Pelodiscus sinensis: one gene and its partners. The protein of the gene in region 3 purifies or fractionates together with the protein of the main gene of each other region. This does not show direct contact. Links are inferred from orthologs where the notes say so. Each region holds a gene or a part of one and is shown on either strand. Other genes may lie near its edges.

Region 1 (10,338 bases), on a different chromosome or scaffold from region 3:
GTTCTTATGTTCTTATGATGAAAGGAAGGTTGCTGGCCAGTTCCAGGCAAAGGGGGCAGCATGACTGGCATGCAAAGCTGGAAGCAGGAACAGAGAAGAAAAGATAATATGCAAGGGGGAGTTAAGTAAAAGCCAAGTTCAGAACCATCATGTATATTACAATATATTTTACAACTGAAATCTATATCCACTCAATGCTCTTTGGAATACCCTAGTGGCACTTCAGTGTTGTCATCTGTTAATTACAATGGGTTCTCAGGAAAATTAATTAGATTTGCTGAGTTCTGATTGGAATGATTGCTTTTCCCTACATGTTTTTAAAGAAATAGCTTGTTTTGGAGAAGTACATTATCTTAATATAATTGTGTCATTTCACCCAAATCATATTACACTGAGATATTATGTGACCTACAACCTGTTTCAAACCTTCATGAGCTGTGGGGGTGGAAAAACCTTTAATGTTAAATATCAGGCTCCAGTGCCAATGATAACAAATATACATTGGAGGCAGATACAGTGCAATAGCACTAAGCCTATCATTACAGAAGATTTAATAATGGGAAAAATTGTTTGTGCCCTTTTTTGCTTTTTTTCATTGTATTTTATTTTTGAAGATTGAAACTCCTTTCTTGCATATTCCATTTTTCCTAAGAGACTATGACCTGCTGGGATGTTGGCATATGTATAACATTAGAGGCACCAAGCAAGAAAATTGATTAATAAAAAGGAATATTTTATTGAAATTGTTTTGAACTCTGGGATGCTTTATGGTTGTTTTTTAACACCTTTAACACACATTTGAGAGCAAAACCTCTTTTTTTTGTTAATAATTCAGTTTGTCCACCAATACAACTAAGGCTAAGAAACTCCAGAGCCCACATCTCTAAATGACTGGAGTCCACCAGCAAAAACAGGAAAAATTAAAACAAAAAATCAGAAATGTCAAGTTTTAAATTAATAAAAAAAAAGATTATTTTCAATAAAAAGGAAATTCATATGCTAAGTCTTCAGGCCTCCATTATACATCACACAGAAGAAAGGGGCATATTATTTTTTTCTGCTTTGTGCTCTACGTGCTGTTTGATTTACATTTGGAACTGTGCATTGTTTGTGATCATGATTTAAAACACTTAAAGTTTCATAGTCTCCCATTCTTAGACAAACTAAGTGACTCACTCCGCTCTTTCCATTCTCCTTTCATTATGCTAAAGATTTAAGGATAACCTCTCATCACACTAAAATGTTTTATAAGAGATCTAACACAATCTTGCTTTTTGCAAGATTGGAGTACACTGATTTCTCCATATACCGGCATGCCAATATCGTCCCATTCAATATTCCTTCCAGCTTAAGCAGATGATGAGTTCCAAATATGTACGTGTGGATAATGTTTCGTGACTAACAAAAATATGCCACTCAGGACACTTATAACTTTGAATTAAATAACTGGGGATGTGTTCAAGATAATCCTTTTACCTATTGCTCCCTGTCTCCAAAAAGTGAAGTTTTATTCAAATTATTTCAAAAGCAAGAGCTCTTAACAGTTTTTTTTTCAGTGTTACAAAAGGCAATTTAACCAATTAAGGCTCACAACTGGATCCCAAGGGCCTGCAAAGCCCCATGGGTAATTCCCAGGGGCGCTAGAGCAATTTTTATAAATAGGGTACTGACGATGGAAACCACATATTTGGTATTATTACTTCAAAACAGGGAGTGCAGGAGTACCTCTAGTTCCAGCACACCGGTAATTCCCCCTGAGCCGGTGCCTGCACGCCATGTGATGGGAGCTCACTGCAAGACTGGGGCAAAGTATTTCTAGGGGTCCAGACGCTAAGAGGAGGAAAATCAGCATAGTTTCCAACATTTCCTGTTCTGGTGACAGGGCCGTCCTTAGGGTGGGGGAAACAGAGCAGTGGCTGGTCCATAGGGTGCGGGGCTACACTCAGGGCTGCAGGGGCAGGAGCAGTGTAAGGAGGCGTAAGTGTGGGAACTCAGGGGCGCTGCAGCACCCCCACCTTTACGTGGATTCCTCGCTGCTGCCAACCCCACATCCCGGGTCCGGCTGCTATCCAGGGCTCCACCACTTGCCCTGAACCTCAGCTTCCAGCCCTGTCTGGGTCCCTGCACCGTGAAGTGGAGTGGATAACCACGGACTGAGCACAGCCCGGGGTGGAGGATGGCTGCTGGCATCAGCACTGCCCAGCACCTTGTGGTCCCCTTTTGCAGTGGTGGCCTTAGGCCAGTGGTTCTCAAACTGTGGTCCTTGGACCACCACCTTCCAGGTAGTCCGCAGCTCAAGGTCAGCCCCGTCCTTCCCCCCACTTCCTGCCTCCCTCCTTCTCCCTGCAGCAGGAAGCTTGCACTGGCTCTCCAGCCTCGTGCTCTCACTCCCACCAGCAAGGTTGGTGCATCACTGCTGAGTTTCCTCTGTGGTGGACGGGAAGCCCTGAGCCTCCCTGCCAGATTATGGGGAAGAAGTGGAGCCGGAAGCAGCTCTGTGCACTGACACTCTCCCTCCCACTTCTTCAGCTGGGGAAACAGCAGTGCACAGCCCCTCTGCCTGCAGGCTTTCTCTGCTGCTCCAATTGGCCGGATTGACTGGGAGCAGCATGGCGCACAAAAGCAAACAAGTGCTCTTTCTTCCCCTCATGCCCAGATCCTGCATTCTCACCCTGCTTCTGCACCGCTCCCCACTGAGACCCCGTATTACCAGGCCACTCCTGCACCCTTCTCCCTGGCCAGACACCCGACCACCAGCCTTCTCCTGCACCCTCTCCCCTGGTTAGACACCCTTCTCCCCCACCCTACTCCTGCATGCTCCCTTGCTCTTGCACTCTACCCCTGGCCAGACACCCTCAACCCGCTCAAGCACCCTCTCTTGCTCCTGCAACCTTCCTCCTGGCCAGACGCCCAGCCCATGGTAATCCCTGAACTGCAGTCTTCCCTGTCCCTCTCCTTGACCCCATGGGGCTGAAACCCCACAGGAGTGAGGTGTCCCAGTTGGGGGCCACATCAGTGAGGGCTGGGGGGTTTTGGATGGATTTGTTTTGCTTTTCACTTGTGTGGTCTCCAACTGATTTTTCTGTGGGTTAGAGGCCTCTGAGCCAAAAACAGTTCCTCACCCCTGCCAAAACATTGAAACCTTTTGTGTTGAACATAAAGTAATACTTCAGAGGGGTAGCCAAGTAGTCTGTAACAGGAAAAACTTTAAAAACAACAAGTAGTCTAGTAGCACTTTATAGACTAACAAAACATGTAGATCAGGGGTCTCCAACCTTTTTAACCACAAGATCACTTTTTTAATTTAAGAGCCATGTAAAATCTACCTCAAACCCAAATAACCTTGCCCCGTTTTCTTCCAGCCCCTTCTTTGAGGCCCTACCCCTTCTTCACCCCTTCTCCGAGGCCTCACCCTCACCCTGCTCACTCCATCCCCCTTCCTCCCACATCCTCACTCTTTTTCACCGGGCTGGGGTCAGGGGTTGGGGTGAAGGTTCTGGTCTTTGGCTAAGGGATTTGGAGTGTGGGAGGGGCTTCGGGCTTAGCCCAGGGTGGGGGATTGAGGTCCAGGAGGGGTTTCAAGGTGCAAGCTCTGGGCTGGGACAGGGTTTCAGGAAGCAGGCTCTGGCTGGGCACCGTTTAATTGAGACAGCTTCCGGGTGGTGGAACAGTGGGGCAGGGCAACCGGTCCATATAGGCGAACTAGGTGGTCTCCTAGGGCACCAAGTTAAATGGGGCACCAAATGATGGCACAATATCATTGAGGGGTTTGGAGGTGGGGGCGCTGATTGCATGGTTCGCCTAGGGCGCCAGTTGCTTGCAGCTAGTCTAGGGCCGCCCCTGCAGTGGAGTTAAGGCAGTCTTACTCCAGTCCTGGCCCTGCACCACTCCTGAAAGCAGCTAGCATGTAAAGCAATGGCTCCATGCTGCCCCTCATCACAGGCACTGAGCCCACGGCTTCTACTGGCCACAGTTCCCCATTACTGATCAATGGGAGCTGCAGGAGTGGTGTCTGCAGGCAAGGACAGCATGTGGAGACCCCCTGCTCTCCCTTTCTCAGGAGCTGCATGAACATGCCAGCCACTTCCAGGAGCAGCAATTCCCACAGGGGTAATTACTCCAGCCATGACAGGTTAAGCATTTTAGAACTCACTCCTCAAAGAAATACATTTAAGCATAAGAGAGAAATGAAAATTATGAAATGAACAGACTAGTCAGAAACCAAAAATAAAACACTTCACAAAGAGTAACAGAAGTAACAACAACCCACATTTCTGTTAGGTTGGGAGATGTGAGTGAAGGGCAGTATGTGTTTGTGAGAATGATAGAGACACACATTGTGTGAGAGTGACAGAGATTTGCACTGCCAAGCTCCCGCCATCCCCTTCTCTCTGTGTGGAGACAGGGTACAGGAGTGGGGGGAGGAGGGACACTCTGACATCAGCACCCCCCATCCTCTCCCTCCCACATCCTGCACAGCAAGAAAGAGGCTCCCAGGGGGACAGCTCCAAGGCAGCCGGCAGGAGCAGCATAAGTGTGGGTGGAGGAGTAACTGGAGTGACAGTGCTTGATAGCTTCCTGGCCAAACCAGTCAGGATCACCTGTCAGAGGCTCCAAGCTCTACCAGTAGATCCTGATCTACTGGTTGGTGACCATTGATGTAGATGGTATCACAAGGTTGTTTTTCCTTTATAAAGTAATTCTGTAATTTATTTAAAATGAAGTTTAATAAACTAACATAAGAAAATTAAAACATTTAATTAAAACTCTTTAATAATTTAACATTTCCTTTCTTACTGGTTAAGGTTAAATCAAACCATTCTCTCTACCTCCAGCACTAGCAAAATGACTCAGGCATAATTATGTAATTAATGGCGAGTTTCCATTAGCAACTGGTGGTCCAGGGAAAGGTTTGCGTAGAAACATGTGAGGTTTGAAAACCACTGCCCTAGGTGTACATAGCAGGCACTAAAAGTGGGGCTTCCTGCCCTACAGTGCTGAGGATTCAGCATATGCCTAAGGATGGTGATTTTGTCAGGTTTTGTGTTCCTTCAAGCCCCACCTCCAGGATTCAGGCGACTCTCATTTTTTTTTATTATTATTATTATTAACCAAACAAGCAAGCTCCTCCACCTATGGTTGCAGAGGAAAGCTGCAGAATGCTTGGGAGAATGCTGGCTTAAGCCAAGCGCAGCGCTCAGAAGGCCAATCCACTGCAGCGGTGCTGGAACTAGGGGCACTCTTGCACCCCGGGGGCCTGCTGTGGGTTCCAGCCATTGCAGCTCAGTGCAAGGATCAGTGGCTCGCTTGCCCCGCGGGCCCAGCACCAAGGTGGCCGCGCGCTCAGCACCTGGCCCGAAAGCCACGTGCGCAGCCCCAGCGCGCGCGGGCAGCCGGGGAAGGGGAGGGGCGGGCAGCCGCGCGCTCTCGCGAGGCCCGGGAGCTGTTTGAGCGCGAGCCGCCGGGCTCTCCTGCTGCCCCGGGCGCGGACTGAGCGCCCCGCTGCAAAGGCGGGGAGGGGGCGCGCGCGGCCCCATGGAGTCTGCAGCCCCCAAGCAGCCGCCGCCGCCCGCCGGGAAAAGCAGGAACCTGCCATGGTAGGAGAAGCACAGAGCCTGGGCCCAGCGGTGCCGCGCAGCTGGGGTCGGGCCCGTCCAGCCCTGCCCCCCCCTCCCCCGATGCATGCTAAAGGGGGGGTTGGGTCCCTGCATCCCCCCTTTTCCCGCCAATTGCACGCGGGAGCTGGCATGGGGTGTGCAGGGGAGCTAGGATCCGCGAATCCAGCCCCCACTGTTGCATGCAAGAGCTGGCATGGGGTGTGCAGGGGAGCTAGGATCCGCGAATCCAGCCCCCACTGTTGCATGCAAGAGCTGGCATGGGGTGTGCAGGGGAGCTGGGATCCGCGAGTCCAGCCCCCACTGTTGCATGCAAGAGCTGGCATGGGGTGTGCAGGGGAGCTGGGATCCGCAAATCCAGCCCCCACTGTTGCATGCAAGAGCTGGCATGGGGTGTGCAGGGGAGCTAGGATCCGCGAGTCCAGCCCCCACTGTTGCATGCAAGAGCTGGCATGGGGTGTGCAGGGGAGCTGGGATCCGCGAATCCAGCCCCCACTGTTGCATGCAAGAGCTGGCATGGGGTGTGCAGGGGAGCTGGGATCCGCGAGTCCAGCCCCCACTGTTGCATGCAAGAGCTGGCATGGGGTGTGCAGGGGAGCTGGGATCCGCGAGTCCAGCCCCCACTGTTGCATGCAAGAGCTGGCATGGGGTGTGCAGGGGAGCTGGGATCCGCGAGTCCAGCCCCCACTGTTGCATGCAAGAGCTGGCATGGGGTGTGCAGGGGAGCTGGGATCCGCGAATCCAGCCCCCACTGTTGCATGTAAGAGCTGGCATGGGGTGTGCAGGGGAGCTGGGATCCGCGAATCCAGCCCCCACTGTTGCATGCAAGAGCTGGCATGGGGTGTGCAGGGGAGCTGGGATCCGCGAATCCAGCCCCCACTGTTGCATGCAAGAGCTGGCATGGGGTGTGCAGGGGAGCTGGGATCCGCGAATCCAGCCCCCACTGTTGCATGCAAGAGCTGGCATGGTGGAGCAGCTATGGCGTGGGGTTAGCTCCCTCTCCCCGCCCCCTTGCCCTGACTGCATGGAGGGCACAGCTCAGGCTATACAGCCCTGGGTTCTCCCTTCCTGTTTGCAACTCTTGCTTGCCCTCCCTCCCCTTGTGTCTCGTAGTTACAGGCTGCAGGCAGATGCGCTGCAATGGAGTATTCATTGCAAGGGATGAAGCTCGGTAAAGTTCAGGTTGTAGGAGAGGCCTAGGATAGCAGTAACAGCCGTTCCTAAAGTCAAAATAACTCCATGCCAAAGGGTTATGCAAATTGCCCCGGACTGTCCTCTCACCAGTGCTGGCACGGGGTAGGAAGTAGGATATAGCCCGCTTTTGTCAAAAATAGTTCTCTATGTCTTGCAGCCTTAGGAAGGGTCTGCCTCTCCTCCCCTTCCCAGATCTGGGGAAGCCACTCCTTCCTGAAGTGAGAAGAAGAGATGTTGGGGAAGGAAGGGCTGGCTTCAGATTCTGAGTTGGTGTAAATTGGTTCATGCTAGTTTGTTTCTCACCTGGTCTGATCTGGTGTGCCCTCCCCTGCCATCCATCTCCCCTGAGTAAATCAACAACCAAGTCTTTTATGACTTCAAATGCCATGTTCCTCCTGGGAGGTGGATCCCTGTATGTGGGGCAATTTGTCCAAAGTCAGCTGTTCCCTAGGGATTAATAGAAATAAGGCTACCCTGCTGTGGTGGCTCAGTGTTCACTGAGCCTGGCTTGCTTTACACTCAACACAGAACATCTGTTTAATAAAACATGGTGCCCAGCCAGTCCTGTACTCAGCCACGAGAGCGCACCTCAGCTGCTCTGTTCTAGTGGGATCATTTGCAATTCCCAACTCAGTTGACTCCAGCTTCTCTGCCCACCACCCGCAATCAATCCCCAGATTAACCCTTGTAAATGCCAGTGTGAAGACCTAGGACTTGCAGAGTATTTTGCGGTTAGAAGCATGGAGTTGGATCTAGTTCCTAAGGGCAGAGTTTTTCTAATTGTATAAGGCATGACAAAACTTTGGGGCATTTAAAGATATTGCAGATGCCAAAAGAGCAGGCTAGTCTTCAAAAGGGAACTTAGTCTCCAAAAGGGAACTGCAGGTGCCTGGATTGGGTTCTCTGTGCTAGGATTCAGCCAGGGCTTGGATTTGGCAATGCCGGAACCTAAGTTTGTGCAGAAAAATTACAAGTTCAGCTCATTTTGTGAGGGTTTTTTTGTCATCTTAAGGGTCAAACAGATCCCTTTGACTTGCAACCAGAACCACAAGGCTAGGTTCTGATGTCAGCCAAATCCAGAGTAGATTGAAGGTGAGTGTTTATCTAGCCTTGTGGGTGATTGTCCAGCATGGGGAAGAGAACAGAAAAATCTCATGTCTGGGACACCTGTTTTCTACACTTGTGAAAAGCCTGAAATCTCTGCTCATCATCTGCATTTATGTTAAAATACCTTTATCTTTAGGGTGGAAAAATATCGCCCTCAGACATTGAACGACCTAATTTCACACCAGGACATTCTGAGCACGAGTGAGTACTTAGTATTACCAGCATTTTTCTTTTGAGCCTCCTTATGGCCTTTACAGACATTAACTCCTGTGATACCTTTGGGCTTGGCAGCTATAATTTCCATTTTATAGATGGAGCCACTGAGGCAAAGGTCATCTGACTTGCCTAGGGTCACAGAGAAACTCAATGGAAGAGGTGGTAGCAGGACTTTGGCAGCAGGACTCCTGACTCCACATTATGTGACGGCAGAAGAGAAGCTGCATTATCTAATGACTGTGGAAACTAGCTTCTTTGCAATGGGTGGCAAGCTTGCAGAAACCAGTTAAATAGTCACTTCCTGTCATGCAATTAGTGATGTGTTGCCATGATTTTAACCAGGGTCTCATCATAAACCCTTTTAGGACATCCATGAGTCTTTTAGGGGGAAACTCTGGTTCTTTTATATGGGATGGTGGCCTAGACTCTGTAATGATCAGTGTGGAATTGCAGAGAGAGATGAAAGGTAGAAGATGCTACAGCTTCTTGGAATTAACCTGCTACGAGGCTGCTCTTTGCACTGGGAATGCCTTTCCTGCCTTCTGTCGTATTTTAGTCAGCTTTTTAGTGTCACTGTTGTAAGGAAAGTCAATCCAGCTTTACAGACTTGTGGAATTCCATGTATGCGGTTTTTTATGGTCCTCAAAAAGACCCATTCACATGTCCTCCTTGGTGTTAGTGGCCACAGATTTGTGACCGTGGGTACCTCAGCCAGCTGGGAGGATGAACCTGTCCACACTAGCAGTTCCCTGAAATTCCCCCGGTTTTATCCAACTCCCCAGCAATGGGCAGGTTGACCCGATTATTCAGCTGCAAGGCTTTCCTGAGGAATGTCTTTCCTTCACATTTCTGGCTAACATGACGGCTAATTAATATATCTGTCTTATACCCAGACACGTTCTAGGGCTGTGTTCTTGCTCCTCGGGGAGATTGTCCTCTTAGCTTCTTTTCCCCTTGAGGTGTTTGTGGCAGTTGCTGCACTGGCAGGCTTCCGAAAGTAAGCTAGGCAGAGAAAAGCAAGAGGCAAAAAACAAGGCCCATGCGCCCTGCTTCACTTCCCTCCATTGAGAGTTGTGTTGGGGAGGTCGGCTGGCTCTGTGGGCAGAGTGCAAGGAAAAGGGGCAGTCGGAATTGTTATAGCCTGCTTCTGAGGAGAGCAGCCCCTCTCTGGAAGAACAAACGAGGCCCATTCCTGCTTGACCCCACCACTTACAACATTCTAGCTCCCTTGGCTTCCATTTTAGGAGGCCTGAGGGAATCCCCAGTATGCACCAGTCACTACAGAGATGAACATGACCACCTCCCCTGCTGGTGGGGGATTCAGCACTTTGAACTGTGGGCACGGTCTCCTCACTAGACAGTCTCTTTGCAGGCAGCTACGCCCAGGCTGGTTGTCACCTCAGCCCCCTCTCCTGGGCAGGAAACTTAGCCTCTGTAGCTGAGGCTGGTGGCATCTGTGATGTGTTGAAATCCCATTGAGCTTGTCTTTCTTCCCTCCTCCACTCCCCCCCCCCCCCCCCCCGCCCTGCTTCAGCCTCCTGCAGTACTGACACAGAGAGAGCCTTTTTCAGTATAATACAGACACTGAGATCAGTTAAGCTCTGGGAAGGCTTAGCCAAAGGACTTTCTGTGGATAGCTGCTTTGGTGCTCAGGGCACAGCTCTTAAGTTAGATTTCTCAAGCAGAACTTTTAAGCGTTTTGGAGCGCAAAAAAAAATGTTGTTTCAAATGTGCTGCTCTCTTGTTGTACTCTGGGGGAATCTGGCAGGTGTTGCTGGAGTTCAGAATGCAGAAGGAACTAAAGGTTAGCCCTTCAATTCAAAGAGCAAGAAGACCAACAGCTCGTCTCTTAGTGTCCCATCTAATCAGCAAGGTTTCTTTTTTTTTCTCACCTTCTGACCCATCTCTCATCAGTTCAGAAGTTCATCAGCGAAGATCGCCTGCCTCACCTTCTCTTCTATGGACCACCGGGGACGGGCAAGACCTCCACAATTCTGGCCTGTGCTAAACAGCTCTACAAAAACAAAGAATTCAACTCCATGGTTTTAGAGGTAAATCACAGTGTCCTGCTGGTGTTATTTCTCCAGCTCCCATAAACTGCTGCCGGTCTGGGGAGAGGTTAGGATTAGCCAGGGTTACAGTTTGCATCCTGGAGTGCTGCTTCACCATAAACAGATACTGCTAAAGATCAGCCTCCTTTTGCCTC
Region 2 (10,736 bases), on a different chromosome or scaffold from region 3:
TCTAACCAGTTCTTAATCTCCAATGATGGAGTTTCCTAAAACTCCCTAGACAATTTACTCCAGTGTCTAACCACTTTCACAGTTAGGAAATTTTTTCTAATGTCCAACTTAAACCTCCCCTGCTTTTTCCTCTTCCCTCTTCTTGCACAAAAAACCCTCTTCCCCATCCACACACGCCTTTTTGCACAAGAGCTCTTGCACAAAAAGGCATTCTTCCTTGCAGAATGAGGATTATCAATTGCACAAAAACCCATCTGATCTTTCAATTTACTTGCACAAAAACATGCTTGAGGTGTGGATGCTCTGCGAGTTTTTGCGGAAAAACAACCGTTTTTCCACAAAAACTGTAGTGTAGGCATAGCCTGAGTCTTCTCTTTTCAAGTCTAAACGAATCCAGTTATGTCAATCTTCCCTCCTAGATCATGTTTTCTAGACCTTTAATCATTTGTTTTGCATTTCTCTGGACCTTCTCCAATTTCGCTGCATCTTTCATGAAACGTGGAACCCAGAACTGGACATAATGCCCCAGTTGAGGCCTAATCAGCACAGAGCAGAGCAGAAGAATGTCTTTGTGTGTTTTGCTCACAACACTCCTGTTAATGCATCCCAGAATCATGTTTGCTTTTTTTGCAATGGTGTTGCACTGTTGATTTATATTTAGCTTGTGGTCCACTATGACTCCATCCTAGGCAATCATTTCCCATTTTGTATGAGAGCAACTGATTGTTCCTTCCTTAGTAGGGATGTTAAAATGTTGAAAATTAACATGGGGGCAGTCAGCTCTCTGGGAGCTGGTGCGTACAGAGAGCTGGCTTAACCAGCTCCCCGTGCATACCGGTTCCTGCCTCCCCCCCTCTCAGGCAGCTTCAGAGGCAGCAGCATGGGAAGGGACAGATGGCAGATGTACTGGGAACCTGAATGTAACCGCATAGTACATGGTTACACTTTCACAACCCTATTCGTAAGTGGAGTATTTTGCATTTGTCTCAATTGAATTCATCCTATTTACCTCAGACCATTTATCTAGTTTGTCTAGATTATTTTGAATTATAACCCAATCCAGCAAAGCACTTGCAAACCCTTACCAGTTTGGTATCATCTGCAAACTTTATAAGTGTATTCTCTATGCCATTATCTAAATCATTGATGAAAATATTGAACAGAACTGGTCCCTACACTAATCCACTGCAAAACCCCACTCAGTATGCCCTGTCAACCATTGATAATACTATCTGGGAATGGTTATCCAACCAGTTATGCAACCAACTTAGGATGCATAGGATCCACCTTAGGAGCTCCATCTAAGTTGTATTTTCGTAGCTTTTTAATTAGAATGTCAGCAGGATTGTATCAAATGCTTTAATAAAGTCTAGATATACCACATCAATTTTTCCCCTTTATCCACAAGGCTTGTTATCCTGTCAGAGAAAGCTATCAAGTTGGTTTGACATGACTTGTTCTTGACAAATCCATACTGACTGTTACATATTTTATTATCTTCTAGATGTTTGCAAATGGATTCCTTAATTATTTGCTCCATTATCTTTCCTGGCGCAGAAGTTAAACTGATTGGTCTATAATTCCATGGCATACCCTTATTCCCTTTTTATAGATGGGCACTTTATTTGCCCTTTTCTAGTCTTCTGGAACCTCTCCTGTAGTCCATGAATTTTCAAAGATAATCGTTAATGGCACTGGTATCTCCTCAGTCAGCTCCTTGAGTAGTTTAGGATGCATTTTATGAGGTACTGGAGACTTGAAGACATCTAATTTAAGTAATTTTTAACTGTTCTTTGCCTATTTTAGCGACTGAACCCACACCTTTTCACAAGCATTTGCTATGTCAGGCATCAACCTTGGTTATGTTAGGGATCAACCTTATAGGTGAAAACCAAAACAAAGAAGTAATTAAGCACCTTTGCCTTTTCTAGGAATATAAAATCCCATTTAATCAGTTAACAGGTTAACATTTAACTGGTTAACCACTTAATTTCGATCCTGCGGTGTGACAGGTCCAGCCAGGCTGGAATGGTCTCCCCTGCCCTCAGTGTGACATGATGGGCCCTAGCTGGTCCTCCTGCCCACCCAAGGCATGGTATGGCATGATGGGCCCAGCTGGACTGAAGCTGCCCCCTGCCTGTCTGCAGTGCAGTGGGCCCGACTGGGTTGGAGCAGCCCCCGCCTGCCCGTTCACCCACCCACAGCATGGTGTGGAGGGCCCAGTCAAGCTGGAGAGGCCCACCCATCCACCCCTTGGATGATTGACTGCTCCATCCCAGCCAGGCCCGCCATGCTGTGGGCTGCTCCAGACAGGCCAGTCAACTGGTTATATCCCTACCTATTTCCACATTTTCTGTTAGTTTTTTCCTCTTTTTGTAACGGGCTGATCCTGTCCCTGCTCTTCTTTGTGCTTCTAATATATTTGTAGAATGTTTTCTTGTTATCCTTTATGTCTCTAGCTAGTCTGAGTTCATTTTGTGCCTTGTCCTTTCTAATTTTGCCCTTATATATTTGTGTTATGTGTTTATATTCATCCTTTATAACTTGACCCAGTTTCCAGTTTTTGTAAGACTCCTTTTGTTATTTTTAAATCATTTAAGATCTCCAGGTTAAACCAGCATGGTCTCTTGCTGTACTTCCTATCTATTGTATACAGTGAGATAATTTGCTCTTGTGCCTTTACTAACCTCTCTTTGAAAAACAACCGTCTTCAATTATTTTTCCTCTTAGACTTGCTTCTCATGGGATCTTATCTACCAACTCCCTGCATTTGCTATAGCTGCCTTCTTGAAATCCACTGTCTTTTTTTCCTGTTCTCCCTACAATCATTCTTTAAAATCATGCACTCTGTCATTTCATGATCACTTTCACCCAAGCTGTCTTCCAGTCTCAAATTCTCAGCCAATTCCTCCCTATTTGTTAAAATCAAACCAGAACAGCCTTCCCCAGTAGCTTTCTCCAGCTTCTGAAATAAAAAAAATGTCTCCAATACATTCCAAATACTTGTTGGATAATCTCTGCTCTGCTATGTTGTTTTCCTAACAGATCTCTAGATAATTGAAGTTTCCCAACACCACCAAGTCCTGTGCTTTGGATAGCTTTGTTGGTTATTTAAAAAAAAAAAAAAGCCTCATCCTTTTTAAAGCTGGCTCCTGCTTCTACACTCCTCCTGCTGCCTCTGGTATAGAGGCAGCAAGGAGGGGATTGCAAGTAGTCGACACGACTATTTTTTTTACATTGCTTAAAAGCTGGCTCCCTCCTTCCCCATGGTGAGGGGAGGGTGGGCAGGGAGGCAAAGATGCAGCAGTACTGTAGATCTGCCTTTTAAATATAGTAAAAGGTACCTGGCTCTTGCTACATTTAAAATCCAGAGGCACAGAGTGGAACCCAGGCAGCTTTTACTACATTTAAAAGGCAGAGCTGCAGCAGTCCAGGCCTGGCTCATGCTGGGTACCAGACCTACCCTCGCTGCAGCTATGCACGCCCAGCACCTACTACATGTAAACTGCATAACCCAAGTGACCTTTTATCAACTAATCATGTACTCAACACACATTATATCGAGTACACAATTAGTCATTTACTCACTACTTAACATTCTTAATTCCCATCCCATTAGGAGGACCTTAGTTATCCAGTGTGGGTCACGAGGACAGCATATTTATGGTGCCCCCAGTTACGCCGGGAATCTCAGATTCACTGACCGCACCACAAGAGAACCATTGACCTGGCTCTCAACCAGCGGTACACATACTTCGGGGGAAGGGATGTGCAGATATCTTTCAGGCGTCCATCAGCTTACCTACATATTTACCTGGTTTTACAACAGGCTACATAAAAAGCACCAGAAAAGTCACTCCAAACTAACGGTCGATGCAACTTATTTATACAGCGCACTGCAATATTTACAGCCCAACACATTTGACAATGCAGTGGAAGCAGGACAGTCAGCAACATTTCTGTGCCAGGTTTGTATTTTTGGCTGTGGCTAGACTGGCAAGTTTTTCCGCAAAAGCAGAAAAACTTGCCAGCTGTCTACACTGGCAGCTGGAATTTCCGCAAGAGTACTGACCATCTCATGTAAGAAATCAGTGCTTCTTGGGGAAATACTATGCTGCTCCTGTTCGGGCAAAAGTCCCTTTTGTGCAAAAGGGCCAGTGTAGACAGCTCAGATTTGTTTTGCGCAAAAAAGCCCCGATGGCGAAAATGGCGATCGGGGCTTTTTTGCGCAAAAGCACGTCTAGATTGGCACGGACGCTTTTCCACAAAAAGTGCTTTTGCGGAAAAGCGTCCTGCCAATCTAGACGCTCTTTTCCGCAAATGCTTTTAACGGAAAAACTTTTCCATTAAAAGCATTTGCGGAAAATCATGCCAGTCTCAACTAGCCTTTGAGTCTGAGACTGCACACAGGTCGTTTGTCAGAGCAGTGAAACCTGCGGGAGACACCAGCCCAGCCTCCTGCAGAGGGCCCCCCCCCATAGTATGAAATGGCTGAGCACCACGGACGTCTTGGCCACCGCCTCGCTGAGCTCAGTGTGCCGAAGGGCACGCTGGGACGTGTAGTCCTTACATGGGCACAAGGCAGGCTGAGACCTCTCGCCGCCACTGACTGCAGTGCATGCTGGGACGCGCCGCCTACGCGCCGTGCATGCTGGGAGTCGTAGTCCCCGCCAGCTGCGGGAAACTCAACAGAGAGGGGACAGGGGTCACTGCACCCCCGCCATCCCCTCTCGGCGCCTGCCGTCAATGCAGGCCGGGAGAGCTTACCTCAGCCGCCATGACCCCAGGCTGCGCGGTGGTGGGCAGCACCCCTAACGCTGGCTGCCCCTCAGGAGTCCCCAGGTCTCCTCAGCTGCCGCCGCCAGCGATTGAAACCCCTTCGATTCTTCGCGCTCTGCAGCAGCTAGCCCCGCCCCCCACCTCGAACCAATCACAGCTCGTGCTCTGCCTTCAGCCTCCGCCTTACTCGGCTCCCTAGTGGATGACTGGCCCGCCTTGCAGGTCTGCGAACCAATCGCCATCCGGCTCTGAGCCTGAGGGGGGCCCCGGCTGTGCCAGCATCCCATTGGCGCCTCACCGCTGTCAAGTCCCTCCCGGCTCGCTCATCGCCTCGTCTGCTCCGAAGGGATAGAGGGGCCCGCTGGGCCTGAGCCGCTCTAGCCGCACATCACGCAACTCGGGGCTAGTGACCCTGGCCAAATGGGATGGGGGCCGCAGTGCATGCTGGGGGCTGCCTGGTTTGGGCCTCCCTCTGGGGGCCCCCCCAAGTTCACAGGGGCCTTCCACTCTTAAGGGCCCTGTGCTAATGTTATTGCTAGTGCTGGACCCCCCCCTCCCCCCATCCTCTCCGCCCTGGAGCCCTGTGTCCTAAACCCGCTGTGGAGAGCCAAGCAGGACAGACCCCCTTCCAGTCCAGTGCCGGGCGGCGTCTGCTCTTTCTGCCCGCGCAGCCTGCTGCCAACGTACAGCCGCCCCCACCTGCGTGCGTCGCCCCTCGACTTCTTGAACTGGACTCCTCGAAGGGCAGGACTGCGCGACGGGTCAGCTCGACGGGGCCGCAGCCTGCGCTGGAAGCTGGGGTTCTGTGCCGCGGCTCAGGAGAGATTCAAATGCTGCCCTGCTGACGAGCAGAGCCCCCACCCACTAGGTTTTTGTGTCTGCTGGTGGTAGGGATCATAGAACCATAGAACCATAGAGCTGGAAGAGACCTCAGAAGGTCATCAAGTCCAGTCCCCTGCTCTAGGCAGGACCAATTCCAACTAAATGACTAATCGATTAGTCGATGTAAATGACTAATTGATTAGTCAACTATCCGATAAGCAAAAGTTTATCAGATCGTTGACACATTAGTTGACTTGTCGCTTCCCCCCACCTTGCTGCCTCTGTCAGAAAGGGGCAGTAAGACAGGGGAGAGGTGTGGGTGTTGGGGGGAGCTGGTTTAAAAGCTGGTTCCCCCCAGCTCCATGGGAGGGAACAAGAGCACAGCGGGGGCGTTCCACCTTTGAAATGTGCAAGAGTCCCCACTGGCCCTCTTGTATATTTCAAAGCAGAAGCGCTGCAGGGATCCTGGGGCCAGCGAGAGATTCAGAGTCCCCCACTGGCCCCAGGCTCCATGTGGTATTTCAATCTTTGAAATGCACAAGATCCCCTATGTACATTTCAAAGGTGAAACGCTGTGCAGCACTTCCACCTTTGAAATGTAGCAATAGCCGGGAGCGCTCTTGCTACATTTCAAAGCAGAAGCGCCCTTATCAACAAATTGAACAGTTGATTAATCTAATTTTAACATCCCTAGCTGGTGTTGCATATTTGCAAATGCATTGGTGCATATAAAATTTATTCTGCACATGGATAGAAAATATTAGTGGGAACATTGTCCAGCGGGTGTTAATAGACACAATAAATTGACCAGTGATCATTCTTCTGTCAACTCTATAGACATCTATATGGCTCTACCAAGAGTTCGTCAGCAATCTAAAAATAAAAATGGAATTCTACAAAAAGTGGAAACATGGACAATTTGTTAAGAAGCCATACAAACATATAAGGATAAAATTAAGGCACAAAATAAGTTACATCTAACAAGGGCCATAAAGAGTAATAAGAAAAGGTTCTATAAATACATTAGCAAGAGAGGTGAAGGAAATACGTTCTCTTGTTAGCGGGGGAAGGACATCTAATAACAGTTGACAATAAGGCTTAGGAGTTTAATATCTGTTTTGTTTCACTTATCACTAAAAAGGTAAATTCTGTTTTGTTTCACTTATCACTAAAAAGGTAAATTCTGGGGTATTTATGCCCCAGGACAATACCGTTATGTTTGGATTACATATATTCTAGTATTGCACCTTGGTTAATCTATTACATGGAAGCCCTGTTGTTACTAAATTCACTTTCTGCAGCTTCTGTAGTATCAGTTATTTGAATCAATCCTGTTTGGTATCTGGGAGCGAGGTTTTCAACAGTTATGGGTCTGTGCATTACATTTTGTTAGGAGCAAAAATTAATAATCACATTTCTTCTCTGGGTTTACAAACTATACTGATGGCTCTGCTTGCCTGATGAATTTGACAGATCTGCAAATTACATTGGTAATTATGTAAAAGCCACTTTGTGGGCAAGAACCAAGTTAGTAGCTGAAATGGTTTTATTTAAGTGACGTAATTGCAGATAGAGATACATATTTCAACAGAGTGTAAATACTGTTGTGGCCAATTAAGATTTCCCATTTGTCACTATGCTGCATACCATGGCCAAGGGAATTTAATGGTGGCAGCAGAGAGAGAACTGTGTTCCACAAGGAAATGCTGCAACCTCTCGAGCAAAAGGAAAACGTTTATTAGCTCTTAGCAATACAGGGTTTATGATACACATCAGTTCTCATTTTATCCAGCGGACAGCAGTGGTGCACACTCATCAGCAAAGTCATTACAAAAGCATTTTTAGACTAAAAGAAAAGCATGTAGTCACAGAAGCTGACATTTAAAATCCTGAGAATGCAGCTGAATCAATTATATAACATGAAGGCACATGTACTTGGTTGAATTTAACAAGCAGTTCAAAAGCAATTTTACATACTTAAGTACATGCTTATAAAGCCAAAAATAAATAACTTACTTTTTCTGATTCCTCAACACAACAGTGATCAGCCAGCCATTACTCAGCCAGCAAAATACAATTTTGTGCTAACATTTAGCAAAAACAACACTTAAGAATTTCAAAATTAAAAATTTGCAGAATTCATGAGAGTGTAAAATGATGACAACCAAAGCCTACCAAGCAAGCTTCACAAAGTATTAATCATGGTTAGTACATTAGTACATCGGTGTACTGTAGGTTTTCAAATATTGGTCTAAATTCATTCTTGGTGTTACTTTTATTTTACAATGTAACAGGGACACAAAAGGAGATTCCTAGAATGATATGGTCAGAACAATTTTCAGAAAGCTCAGGTCCATTTGTAAAGTTTTAAAATTAAGAAATCTGATTAGATACAGCAGATCTGCCTATTCATTGATTTCTTCAAGAGAACTTTCTTCTGCAATAGGCCAGTTAGGAGACACATGGGGCACATTAACCCACAAAATCAGTTCATTCAAGAGACACCCACTGACAGGTCAGCATGCGAATGCAAAATTATTCATTGTCTTACAAAAGTATGTAGAATCAACTAGATAACCTAGCCATTGGCAAGCCTTAGTGCAGCTGTGCACTGGGAATGCCAGCTGATCTGCAGACACATCTTGGCCTGGATCTACAAAAGGATTTGGATCTTGTCTACATTACGTGGGGAATCAATGTCTGCTTAGACACAATAAATCGATCTCCAAGTGTGCTTCCACTGATGCCAATACTCCACCAAGATGAGAAATGTAGCCAGCATCAACAGGAGAGCAGCTCCCCCTGACCTTACCTCACGCAAGACGCTGTGGTAAGTATGTCAACTTCAGCTCCACTATGTGAAGTAGATCAACTGCACAGGTAAGTGTAGACAAGGCGTCACAGTGCCTATCTTTTAAGAGCCTCAAAAATCATAGGAACAACACTGTGACCCACACAGCTGCACACATAGACATCTGGGCTCTCTATACAATGAAGGGAAGGAGAGAGACTATCATTTTAAAATGCAATCCACAAAAGCCAGCACTCTATTGACTATAGACCTAAACTGATGACAGTGTGTGTTAAGCTCCACTTCTCTGAAAGATAGCTGAAGTTTTGACTGTAGCTACTTAGTGATCCATTACTGGGAAGCTGCTGCCTAGAGTCAGGCAGCCTAGGCACCTGTTATGGAGATGAGTTAGCTACTCTGCTGCCCTTGAGCTACAGGAAAAGGATGGAGGAAGAGGAGGAGATCATGTTAGAGTGCTTCTTCTCAGCTGTGAGGTTTCAGGTTCAATTCCCACTGGGGTGGGGAAAGGAGACCCCTATTCAATTCCTAGTTCTCAGAAGACTTCCTGAGCTCTGGGATAATCTGGTGTGGGACTTCCTTAGTCTCTCCTGTTGAAGCTGTTCCACTGTGGATGCTTAGAGAAGGGCAACTGACCTAGGGCCTTAGCACTGGGCTAGAGAGTCAGTATTCCCTGAAAACTTAGATGCTATAGAGGAGTTGTTTTGTGGATCACAGTGGAGGGAAAACTAGGACTTACAGGTACCTAAACCTGAGACATAGGCACCCAAGTACCTTTGTAGTACTAGGCTCTGGTTTATTTGCTTAGCCATTTTTGGCAGAGATAACGTGGCTGTATGATTCTCTGTACTGCGTGGGAGTACATGCTAGAACATAGAGGTGGAGGGATGTGGCATGTGATCATTTCTCATCCAAGTTTCCCTAGCCACTAAAAGGGCCTTCTACATTTACTTTGGTATATCTAGCTTGCTTTACTTGCACCAAGCCAGATGCCTGTAAAATGCTAATGGCTACATCTATACTGCTTACTTCTTGTGCACAAGCCTATGCAAATAGAGCACACATTAGTATATTATTGCGCTTCATTTGCATAATTATTTAGGGGCCGCTTTTGCGCAAGAGGTTTTTGCGCAAAAAGGAGCTGTGTAGATGCCTAGGGAATCTTTGTATCAAACACTCTTCAAGAGAGTGTTCCATAGTTACAGCAAGGGAGGCTCAGCTGTATTCCAGCCTTATATCTTCCTAGTATTATTTATATATAAAGAGATGTATGTATGTTGTTTTACAGAGTGGTGAAAAGACAGGACTCCCTGCCCATGACAATGTTTAGTATAAACAGGCAACAATGCAGATGAAGGAAAGGAGGTGACATCAAATCAGCAGATATATTTCAGTGTTACACTAATTATTTATTATGAATTATTATTATTAATATTGTAGCAATGGAAGAGCATGCGGGGTGGCAATTACACCTCAAATTAGGGCTTATGTGGGACCTAAAGGGTGCATACACTGATGGTTGTGGACGATGGCACAGGAGGGAGCTCCAGCATCAGAGAGTAAACCAGTTGTAATTCCAACATACGCGAAGTGCAGCTACTTCCTCACAACCCAGGAAACACCCTTTGGCTTCTGTTTTTAAATAGCCCAAGAAACCCACAACCTTCTGCCTTTCAGGAAGCTCAATCACTGAATAGAAAGTTTATAGTCACAAGATCCATATTTCGCCTGGTGGTGAAAGGAGGCTGGTATTTCAGAATTTTACTAGCAGTGTTGAATGCTTGCCTTCACTTGTTCAGAAAGTTGGCAGCCCTGTGCATAAAAAGTGAAGTTAGTGAAGTGGTTAAAAAAAGAGAGAATTACTAAACAAGGAAGAATGTAAACAAGCATAGCCCACACCAGAGTGTAGTTTACCAAATGAGCAATGCCTTTGAAATGATAGCAAATAAACAATACATATATATATTGCTTCCTGGCTTTGTTAAATTTCAAATAACAATATCTAATCCACCAAGGTATCCAGATAAATTACAATGTGCTCTGTAGGGCCACACTCTGTCAATGGCAGACTCTCTGTATCCACATGAAGCCACACAGATTTCTGCCAGCCTACAGCTCATTGTAAGATTGAAGCCAAAGTTGGTATTTGTGCTCCAGGCTGGGAGCTAGGCAGATGGAGTTCTGTGAATACACACCCACTATAAAGTTGTCACAGATCTCTCCAACTCACTAAATAATAGCTACGCCAGCCGTATCGCTGTAGAGAAACATGGCCTGAATCAGGATGTTCATATAAAATCTAATTATATTCTCGTTTAAGGTTAAA
Region 3 (9,884 bases):
GGGTGGGCACGCTGCATAGAACTGCTCCATCATGACCAGCTTGAGCAGCTCCTCTGCAGTCTGGGCTCCGACTCCAGACACCCACTTGCGGCCGTATTGCGCCAGGCGGGAGGCCAGATCCACATAGGTCTCCCGTGGCCCTTTCTGTACCCCCCGGAACTTCTTCCTGTACATCTCGGGGGTCAGCCCGAACTTGTGCAGCAGGGCCTCCTTGACTCGGTTGTAATCCCCGGGCTGTAGGTCCTCCAGCTGACTGAGCACTCCGGCCGCCTCCTGGCTCAGTGCGGGGATGAGCTCCTGCAGCCAGTCAGCTGGGGGAACCCGTTGCAGTCCACAGGCCCTCTCAAAGGCACTGAGGAACCCGTCTATGTCACCCATGTCCTTCAATTGGGCCACCACGGGCCTCTCCAAGCATCTGGCAGTCCTGGGACCCTGGGGCCCATCCGCACTTGGCGCAGCCGGTGCCCCGCCGGTTCTCCGCTCTGCCATGGCCAGCTCATGCTGCCGCTGCCTCTCTCGATCTTGGCGATCCCTTTCTCGGTCCTGGCGGTCCCTCTCTCGGTCCTCTACTTCCAATTCCTTGATCCGCAGCTGGATCTCCAGCCGCCGCAGCTCTGCTTGGCTGGCCCCTGCCCTAGATGGGCTGCAGCTTGCAGGCCTCCTGGGGGAAGCTGTCTCATCTCTCCTGTGGGTTCCAGCGCTCCTCCCCCTCTCTGAGCCTGACACACTCTCAGGGGGGGTCTGGCTGCTTCCCATGGGGACAAGATCCTGGCCCTGTGGCTGGTCGTTCTCTTCTAGCTGAGCAATCAGCTGGGCCTTGGTTGCTTTCTGCACAGGCAAGCCCCTCTCTCTGCACAGCCCCACCAGCTCTGCCTTCAAGAGTCGGGCGTAGGCCATCTGCCCGCTGGGCCCCTCGGTGCAGACTCACCAGTCTAGTGCTGCAGCGCCCCACGATTCCCAGGAACCGCTTCGCTCTGTCTCCAGCACGCCTGGCTCCAGGGCTCTTGCTTCTACTGCGCCTTGTCGCTTGCCGCTGGAAGCTCCATCCACGGGGTGCAGTGCATCCCACTTCTGACACCAGTGTGACGGCGCGTTGGGGGTTCCCCGTCTCCTGCACCCCGAAATGGCACAAACAGACTGCACCAGCCAGTGGAATTGAGGGTGGTTTATTGCTCCTCCAGCACAGCGCAGCACAGATGTAATCTGGTTACAGGAACTGGGCTAGGATGCCTCAGGCCCCCTTGAGATGGGGGAGACTGGGCCCCTAAACTCCAGCCCCTTCCCCTAGGCTCTCCTCCATGCCCTCCGACAGCCAGCAACCAACTCACTAACTTCCAGCCCTGCCCCCCAGCCAAGGCAGCATTCCACCTTCCTTTGTTCCTCTCCATGGGGGGTGTCTGGCCACTGGTTTGCATAGTGACTCATCCTGTTTTGCTGGGTCGTGGTACCCACGGCAGCCAGTGGGGGTTCCCCCAGAGCCAGCAGCATAGAAACCAGCCAGGTACCCCCACTACGTCACACCCTGCATGAATGAGAGGGGGGAGCAGTGCTAGGGAGCAGGGGGTGCTGATCCTGTGTGACTGCCGGGACAGGGAAGGGCTGGGGAATAAGCAGGGCTGACCTTGTATGAATGAGGACTGGGGGAGCAATGATGGTGGCACTTGAGAGATCTGACTCCGTGCGAGTGGCTTGGTTGGTTGGGAGCGCTGCAGTATGTTGACATTCCCATATTCACACAGGGTCAGTCTTCCTCAGAGGGGTTATAGATTCTCCTTGACCTAATTTAAGGGCTCCACAGACTTATGTCCCCCCCCCCCCCACCCGCCCCCTCGCCTAGTGCAAGCTTCCCATGTGTCTTCTCCAACACAGGATCTGGGAGGTCAGGAGAGAGGAGGGGAGGGGTGCACATGGCTTTGGACACTGCAGAGGTGTGTGTGTCACGATCCCAGCCAGCTGTGTCCTATCCACAGCCCCATAAAACTCTGAGCCCCGAGGCCAGAGATCCTCAGGGGATGCTTGCTCCATAGGAGCCCGGCTGCTTTTCAAGAGCTGGAACGGACACTCTAAACACCAAATCTAGTTCTTCTGGGAGGAAGAGGGGCTGTGCCAAGAGTCCCTTCCAGGGGCCACTAATGTCCAATTCTTCTCTTCCTTCTGAAGGCTAAACCAAGAGCCCACTTCATAAGCATAGCGATGCAATTCTCATTCTTTTCCTCTCTGCAGGACTGCACCCAGAGCCCATTCTACAGTAGGCACAGAAATCCCATACATAACCAGTCCCCAACATCCACAATCCTAATGGGTACCACCTAAAGAGCTTGCAGCAGCCTCAACAGAAAAGCCAAAAAGTTACTGTTCCAGACAGTCATTAGGCTAATTCAGGGATGGTGGGGACTTAATCCTCCAGCTTCTCTGGCTGTACCTGTTCTAGGAGATTCAGAGAGGGCTCTAGACTCCAGGGCTGTGTCTACATTGGCCCCTATTCCGTAATAGGGATGCAAATGTAGCACTTTGGAATAGGCAAATCCGTGGGGGATTTAAATATCCCCCACGGCATTTGCATTAACATGGCTGCCGCTTTTTTCCGGCTTGGAAGTAGGAATAAGAGATCCTCTGAAAAAGAGCTTATTTTCCGGAGGATCGCGTCCAGACTGGCGCTTTTCTCCGGCTTATCTCCAAGCCAGAAAAAAGCGGCAGCCATGTTAATGCAAATGCCACGGGGGATATTTAAATCCCCCACGGATTTGCCTATTCCAAAGTGCTACATTTGCATCCCTATTACGGAATAGGGGCCAATGTAGACACAGCCCAGGGCTCTCACTTCTACGGTTCATCTCCTCCACCATCCCTCATGTCCCACACACTTAAGCAACACACCCTAAACATATTAACCAGAGAGAGACATTTTAAAAAAGAAAGGAAATGAAACAAGGTGGGAGAGAAAGGAGGGTAAATGCTTCACAGACACATATTTATGACTCAATGGATTGTGGGACCTAATGCTACCATTTTCTTCTTGGAATAAGTAGGGATGTCAACTTGTAGTGGACTATACGATTAACTGATAAGCTTAGGCAAACCCCTAAGATAACAAGCTATACATCTCTCCCAGCCTGGACTCAGTTTCCCTCCCCTATAAAAGCACTCTCAGAGGTCTGCTCACACTAAAAGGAACTTTCATGTACAGCTGCTGCAAGGGGATATGAGGCTACCAGGGCCATATGCTCCCAATGCCTGGAGTCACAGAAGGGAGGGGACAGAGTTGCAGTTAGCAGCAAGAAGTACCTGTAGCATAAAAGCCCTTTTGTGCTGCACAGAATGCCCCTTGGAGAAACAGTCAGAACTCCCATTTCTCAGGGAAACAAAACTTCTGGTTTGCCCCATAGATTCAGCCCAGTGACGGGTTAGAGAACCAGCTGCTAATCTGGCTCACACAACATCAGCAGGATGGTTAGCTCTGCCCAAGGGCTCTTGGTTACACTTGGGCAAACTAATGAAGGCAAAGGGGTTAGGGTTGTGTGGGACTCACCCAGGGGCAGGACTCAAAGGTGAGGAAGGGGAAGGTCACAGGACAGATGGGGTGTGGACTGCACATAGGTCAGGCTGTGGCCAGCCAAATCATTCTTGCTGGTGGTGCTACAAGGCTGGGAAGTCTTCAAGCATGTTCCTGGGACATACGAGGCTTTTGTGTCACTGAGATGAGTACAGGGCCCCACAAGGCGGGTTTGACAGCCACGCACCAGAACAGAGCTGCTCAACTAAACATAATTCACCTGTGCTGGGTTGGGGGAGGCTCCACGATTCTGCTCAGCTGGGGCACAGGGAGGGCGCTGCAGCCTGGCAGAGCATCCCGAGCTGGGAAGGTGCTAGGAAAGCCCTTGCAAAGGTTCCTCTTGGCCTGATGCTCCCTGGCCTCATCCTTATATCCGGACGGGGTGCCAGTGTCAGGGAATGGCTGAGCGCCGCCACAAAGAGGCAGACTGCGGTTGCTCTTGGCGATCACAGCCTCCAGCAAACTAGGGTAGCAAGTCTGGGGGCCTGGGGAGGGAATCTGAGTCCTGAGTCTCCAAGCGCAGGATGGGGGGGGGGGCCCAAGGGAACAGACTCAGGAAGCAGGGAGGGTACTCTGGTGGGGGGGGCAAGTGTGGTTTTGGGAAGACAGCCCAGGCCATGGGGTGTGTGGGGGTGACTCTGATATGGGGCAGGAAAGGAGCCTGGGCCTAGTGTGAGCTGTCTGTGGCCTTGGAAGGGGGTGTCTGGGGGAAGGGGGGGGCTGAGCTTGGGGGGGGGGGAGGATACAGACTCTAGTGAAAGAGCTGTGAGGGCTGGCAGGGGCAGGACCTGGGCTGGGGGGGGGGGGCAGGGGCAGGACCTGGGCTGGGGGAGGGGGGACCATGGGGTAGGGGCAGGACCTGGGCTGGGGGAGGGGGGACCATGGGGTAGGGGCAGGACCTGGGCTGGGGGAGGGGGCATGGGGCAGGGGCAGGACCTGGGCTGGGGGGGGACCATGGGGCAGGGGCAGGACCTGGGCTGGGGGGGGGGTCCCATGGGGCAGGGGCAGGGCCTAGGCGGGGCAGGGGGTCCCTGAGGGGATCCCAGGTGAGCAGGGCAAGACCTGCCCTGCGGGGGTGGCAGAGGCAGGCCTGGGCTGGGGGTGTCTGAGGGGAGACGAAGGCGCCTAGGCCGAGCTGAGGCTCTGGATGGACCCCGCTACGTTACCTCCCACATTCGAAGCCCCATTGGCTGGTAGTTCTGTCCCTCTATCGGCCCAGCCAATCAGCGGCGTGCGGCTCCTCCAATGGCAGCTGGGGACGGGTCCACCCGGCGCAGCGGCCTAGGTGACGCGGGGACAGCCACAAAGAGGCTCCACCCCGGGAGTTCCAATGCTCGCTAAACCGGCGCGGCTCCTCCCCGGAGACTTTGTCACATGACGAGAAGAGCTGGCTTTCCCCCGCCACGTGACCCGAGAACCAATAGGATGCGCTAAAAGGCGACGCAAGGCAGGGCTCGGCCAATGGGAAGACGGCTGGAGGAGAGGAGGCGAGTGGCGGCCGGGCGCGGCAATTGTGGGGGGTGCTGGGCGAGACCATCAGGCACAAGTGCTGTCTCTGCAGGATCCCCCGCGTGCATCAGGGGCGAGGAGCGACCCCCGGGCCAGGTGTGAGGGGGCGGGGCCACGGTGGAAATGGGCGGGGCTGTAGTGGATGGGCGGGGCCACGGCAGGGACCTTGCGTGGGGTGGGACGGGACGGGGTGCCAGGGGGCAGCATGTGGGGTGGGACGGGGTGCCGGGGGGCAATGTGTGGGGTGGGCCAGGACGGGGTGCCGGACACGTGGCAGGGGTGCAGCTTGTGGGAATAGGGCCTGACAGGTACCAGGGAGGCAGTGGGTGGTGGGGAGGACTCGGTGCTGCAGAGTGTGTTGATGCTCCCAGTAGCTGCACAACTCCATTGGCAGCAGCATCTTCCCTTGGATTTCTGTTTCCTATGCCGGAGAGCAGCTCTAAGGCTGGAGCGGCATCAATAAGCCCTTCCGAGCCCTTTGGATGGGAATGCACAGGGAGAGTAGCAGAAACTGGCTTTTAGGGCTGCAGGCACCGGACTAACAAAAAGAGCTATCGCCTGGGCATCCCAGCTGTGTCTGGCCTTGGTTCCCAGTGTGGTCAGTGATCCGTGTCCAGCTGAGGACTTAGGGGAGAGGTGGGCAAAACAGCACGAGATGTTCAGTCTCACTAACCCAAGCAATAGATTGATTGGCTCAGCACATCCTTAACATCCTGTTTAGACAGCCACATCACAGTGACTAATGCATCTTCCCACCCCAGGGTGGCTGGTGCCCTGGAAGAGGGCATGCCCAGCTCACTAAGGAGACACTGTGAAAATGATAAGCCATTGTAATCAGCACAGGACATAGAAATGGAACTGGGGAGAGAAGAGAGACTGGTTAAAAGAAAGGCTCTGGGCTGCAAGTTGCAAAATCAGAAGCACAGGGATCTAGGGGTCATAGTGGACCACAAGTTGAATATGAGTCAACAGTATGATGCTGTTGCAAAAAAAGCAAATATGATTCTAGGTTGTATCAACAGGTGTGTTGTAAGCAAAACTCGTGAAGTCATTCTGCCGCTCTACTCTGCACTAGTTAGGCCTCAGCTGGAGTACTGTGTCCAGTTCTGGGCGCCACATTTCAAGAAAGATGTGGAGAAATTGGAAAGGGTACAGAGAAGAGCGACAAGAATGATTAAAGGTTTAGAGAACATGACCTATGAAGCCAGGCTTCATGAACTGGGCTTGTTTAGTTTGGAAAAAAGAAGATTAAGGGGGGACATGATAGCGGTTTTCAAATATCTAAAAGGGTGTCACAAGGAGGAAGGAGAAAATTTGTTCCTCTTGGTTTCTGAGGACAGGACAAGGAGTAATGGGCTTAAAGTGCAGCAGGGGAGGTTTAGATTGGACATTAGGAAAAAATTTCTAACTGTCAGGGTGGTCAAACATTGGAATAAATTGCCAAGAGAGGTGGTGGAATCTCCCTCTCTGGAGATATTTAAGAACAGGTTAGATAGACATCTGTCAGGGATGGTGTAGATGGAGCTTGGTCCTGCCTTGAGGGCGGGGGGCTGGACTCGATGACCTCTTGAGGTCCCTTCCAGTCCTATGATTCTATGATTAAGTGTAGCCAGGACATGTGGGAGGGATGATCTGGCAGCCAGAACCTGGGGCAGCTGGAGTGGCCAGAAGGATCTGGGAGCAGGGCAGGTGGCAAAGGAGACCACCTGGGTCTGTGATGGGATGAGGATGCAGGACAGGCCGGTGCTGGTTGAGACTCAGTGTGCATCTCCCACAGCAGGAACGAGCCCTATTCTATGCAGAGCTGAGGCAGTTGGATGTTGTGTTAGAAGCTGGGGCTCTTGATACCAGACAGGGATTGACAAACCCCAAGGTTGAGAATAGCCACAAAACTGTACAGGGAGTTGGAAGGGACAGTTGGCCTGAGGGCAAAGGAGTGAGCCCCAAGAAGGGAGAGGGGTAAGATTAAGAGCTGCAGCAAGGGGCTAAGAAGGTGCATCTACCTCTCTTGATTCCTCCTGGAGCTTCAGTCTGACAGGGGTTCCTGCTTGGCACTCCTGTGTGGCTGTTAAACAGCTGTCCTCCTTCCCCTCAGAGGTGGCTGCAGGTTGGTGCTGGGTATGGGGAAATGCTTTGGTAGCCTTCAGGGGAAAAGAGCTAGGAATGTACTGAGTTGATTATTTAGGGGTGGGGTGGGCCACTGGCCCACAAAAAAATCAGTGAGGGCCACACATACCTGAGAAGCAAAACAAAACCCCAAAAACCCACCTCACTGACCTGACTCCCAGCAGGTTTGGGGCTCACACTGCAGCCCTGCAGGCTGGATCCAAGTAAGCCAGGGACCAAATCTAGCCTGCGGGTGGTAGGATCTTCATGACTGATTTAGGATGTGGTCTCTCTCCAGCATTTTCTACTTATTTGTCCCTGGAAGAGGTCCCTGTGCAGCGCCGGAGGTAGACTCTCTCCATCACCGGGCTGGATTATCTCAGGGTTCAGGGCGCTGTGATTGGAATGGGGGTTTGAAACCCGCCTGCAAGGGTGGGGAGAGCCCATCTGCATCACTCTGTTGCCATGAGGTGCCTTGTTACCGGGGGCAATGTCAAAGGTGAGTGCCGGGCTACCATCTGGGCATGGGGTGGGGAATGGGGCATGTGGCAGGTACCAGCTCCCATCTGGCCCCAAGGCGGGGGGGGAGTGGCTGGCTCAGCAGGGGGGGGAACGGATCAGGGGCCTTTCCCTCTAGGAGGCACTGGCTGCAAATGGCTGTGTTTCCTGCCTCAGAGAGCTGGAGTTAAGGGGAGTGAGGACAAGATGGGGCTGGACCTGGGGATACTAGGTGGAGACAGGCCCTGGGTCACAGTCTCTCTCTTTCCCCCTCAGTCCTCGGGAAAGCTGTGCATTCTCTGTCCCGCATCGGAGACGAGCTCTACGTAGAGCCCACGGAGGACGGGGTAAGGGTGCAGCTCTAACCAGTGGGGGTGGGGGCACTGTTCTGATCCGAGGGGGAGGGGAGAACTGAAGGGAGAGAGCTTCCATCAGGGTTTGGGGGTTATTTATCGCAGGGCTCCTAGGGGAGTAAGTTGGGTCACCCTGGTTGGTGATGGAGCTGGCTCTTCCCTGAGGAGCTGCTGGGGATGAGGTGCTGGGTGGTGACAGGGCAGGCTCTCTCCTGGTAAGGGTCGGGGGGAGAGACTGTTTAATGAAGGGGTTGGCTCTCCCTTCCACAGCTCTCTCTACGTGCTGTCAACTCCTCCCGCTCGGCCTACGCCTGCTTCCTGTTTGCCCCGCTCTTTTTCCAGCTTTACGAGGAGGGGAGCCCAGACCCCGATGGGGAGACCTTCCGCTGTAAGGTCCTCATGAAGGTGAGGCTGCTGTGTGGGGCATCCAGGACAGGTTTCATTGGGGTGCCCGGGGGCAAGGCACAGGAGTAACTGGGATGTGGGGAGTCCTGCAGAGGGCCCTGGCTCGATTGTCTGTGTGTGGGGCTGGGCTCAGTTGCCCAGGGAGAGCTTTCTCCTAGCAGTTTGTCCCTGGTCTCTGTGTCAATGATGTGGGACTCTCCGTGGGGTGCCCTGCAGGGATCAGGAGTGGTGACTCTCTTCACCCTTGGCAGTGAGTGTAGCTGGCACGAGGAGGGGGGAGCAGGTATCAGGGGCTTGTGACCACCCTGTTCCATGGAAAAGAATCCTGGTGGGAACTGGGACTTCTGGGTTCTTTCCTGGGTTACAGCAGGAGGGCTGGGAGGCAGGATTCCTAGGTTCTTTCCCTGACTCTGGGAGGGGAATCGGTGTCTTGTGGTTACAGCAGGGGAGCCGGGAGCCAGGGCTCCTGGATTCTGTCCCCGGCTATGCTGGGTGGAGCTGCTCCATGAGGCTGTTTCCCCAGCTGTGTGGCAGGCAGTGAGGGTAGTGACAGGGTTGGGGGTGTGTCTCTCTCCTCCCAGTCCTTCCTGGGTGTGTTCCGCTCATTGCCCTCGCTGGAGAAGACGGTCGAGAAGTGTCTGATATCCCTGAAGCCCCGGGCCAGCCGACTGGTCGTGCAGCTGCACTGCAAATATGGTGAGTGCCGCCCTGTGGGGGCAAGAAGAGGCATCTAGGAAGCCCCATTAGTGGAGGGGGGTGGTGATTGGGGAGCCCTCCACTGGGAGGGATCATCTCAATAGTCAAGCAAGGGAGCCTGGATTGAGGCCTGGGGCCAGCGGACCTCTACCCACCTAGCTCCCAGTGCGAGGTACCAGGGAGCAGAAGGGACGCGTGCAGGTGGCTAGGGATGAGTGAAGCTTGGAGGGTGTGGAGGAGGGGCAGACCCCTGGCCTGGTTCCCTACTGAACACAAGGCCGGGCTGGGGAGGCGCATTGCGCAGGCTCCGGGTCTGCTGATGGCCATGATGGGGGATCCCTGAGCCGTTGTCCCTGTGCCCTTGGCAGGCGTCACCAAGACCCACAACCTGTCGTTCCAAGAGTGCGAGTTGCTGCAGGCCGTTTTCGACAAGGAGCTGTGCGCCAACGCCCTGCACGCCCCTGCCCGGTGAGTGGGCTCTGCTGAGTCTGGCCAGAGCCTGCCGTAAGGACGAGGGGTTCTCGGACACCTTTCTCAGGCCCCCAGCATGGTAGGAGGACCCCATCACCCGCTGGGGAGCTGTCGGAGCAGGGGCTGCTCCTGGGGGGCAGGGGCATTAGCCATGTGGGACCAGAGCTCAGAGTATTCACCACAGAGCGGGGGGACCTTGGGGCTCTGGGCTTGAGCCAATAGGGAGGGTTCAGGGCTTTAGCTGTGTGGGACTGGAGCCTTCGGGTTCACAAGCATCAGGGCTTGGCCCTCGA

The links. The genes of interacting proteins can lie anywhere in the genome.
Region 1: the proteins of RAD9A (region 3) and RFC5 purify together in Homo sapiens (affinity purification with mass spectrometry; 3 studies listed by BioGRID and IntAct, with this or other methods). This does not show direct contact. The link is inferred for Pelodiscus sinensis from reciprocal best matches to the Homo sapiens genes RAD9A and RFC5.
Region 2: the proteins of RAD9A (region 3) and CLSPN purify together in Homo sapiens (affinity purification with western blotting; 3 studies listed by BioGRID and IntAct, with this or other methods). This does not show direct contact. The link is inferred for Pelodiscus sinensis from reciprocal best matches to the Homo sapiens genes RAD9A and CLSPN.

What each region holds. Positions count from the first base shown.
Region 1 is NC_134725.1:10,996,595-11,006,932, reverse strand, and holds the start of RFC5 (replication factor C subunit 5), read left to right. Parts: upstream 1-5,412; 5' UTR 5,413-5,535; coding exon 5,536-5,597; intron 5,598-8,052; coding exon 8,053-8,117; intron 8,118-10,046; coding exon 10,047-10,183; intron 10,184-10,338. UniProt on the Homo sapiens protein: Subunit of the replication factor C (RFC) complex which acts during elongation of primed DNA templates by DNA polymerases delta and epsilon, and is necessary for ATP-dependent loading of proliferating cell nuclear antigen (PCNA) onto primed DNA.
Region 2 is NC_134735.1:7,479,809-7,490,544, forward strand, and holds the start of CLSPN (claspin), read right to left. Parts: upstream 4,927-10,736; 5' UTR 4,780-4,926; coding exon 4,768-4,779; intron 1-4,767.
Region 3 is NC_134714.1:127,077,215-127,087,098, reverse strand, and holds the start of RAD9A (cell cycle checkpoint control protein RAD9A), read left to right. Parts: upstream 1-5,002; 5' UTR 5,003-5,158; intron 5,159-7,466; 5' UTR 7,467-7,633; coding exon 7,634-7,667; intron 7,668-7,942; coding exon 7,943-8,013; intron 8,014-8,289; coding exon 8,290-8,424; intron 8,425-9,005; coding exon 9,006-9,120; intron 9,121-9,488; coding exon 9,489-9,588; intron 9,589-9,884. UniProt on the Homo sapiens protein: Component of the 9-1-1 cell-cycle checkpoint response complex that plays a major role in DNA repair. The 9-1-1 complex is recruited to DNA lesion upon damage by the RAD17-replication factor C (RFC) clamp loader complex.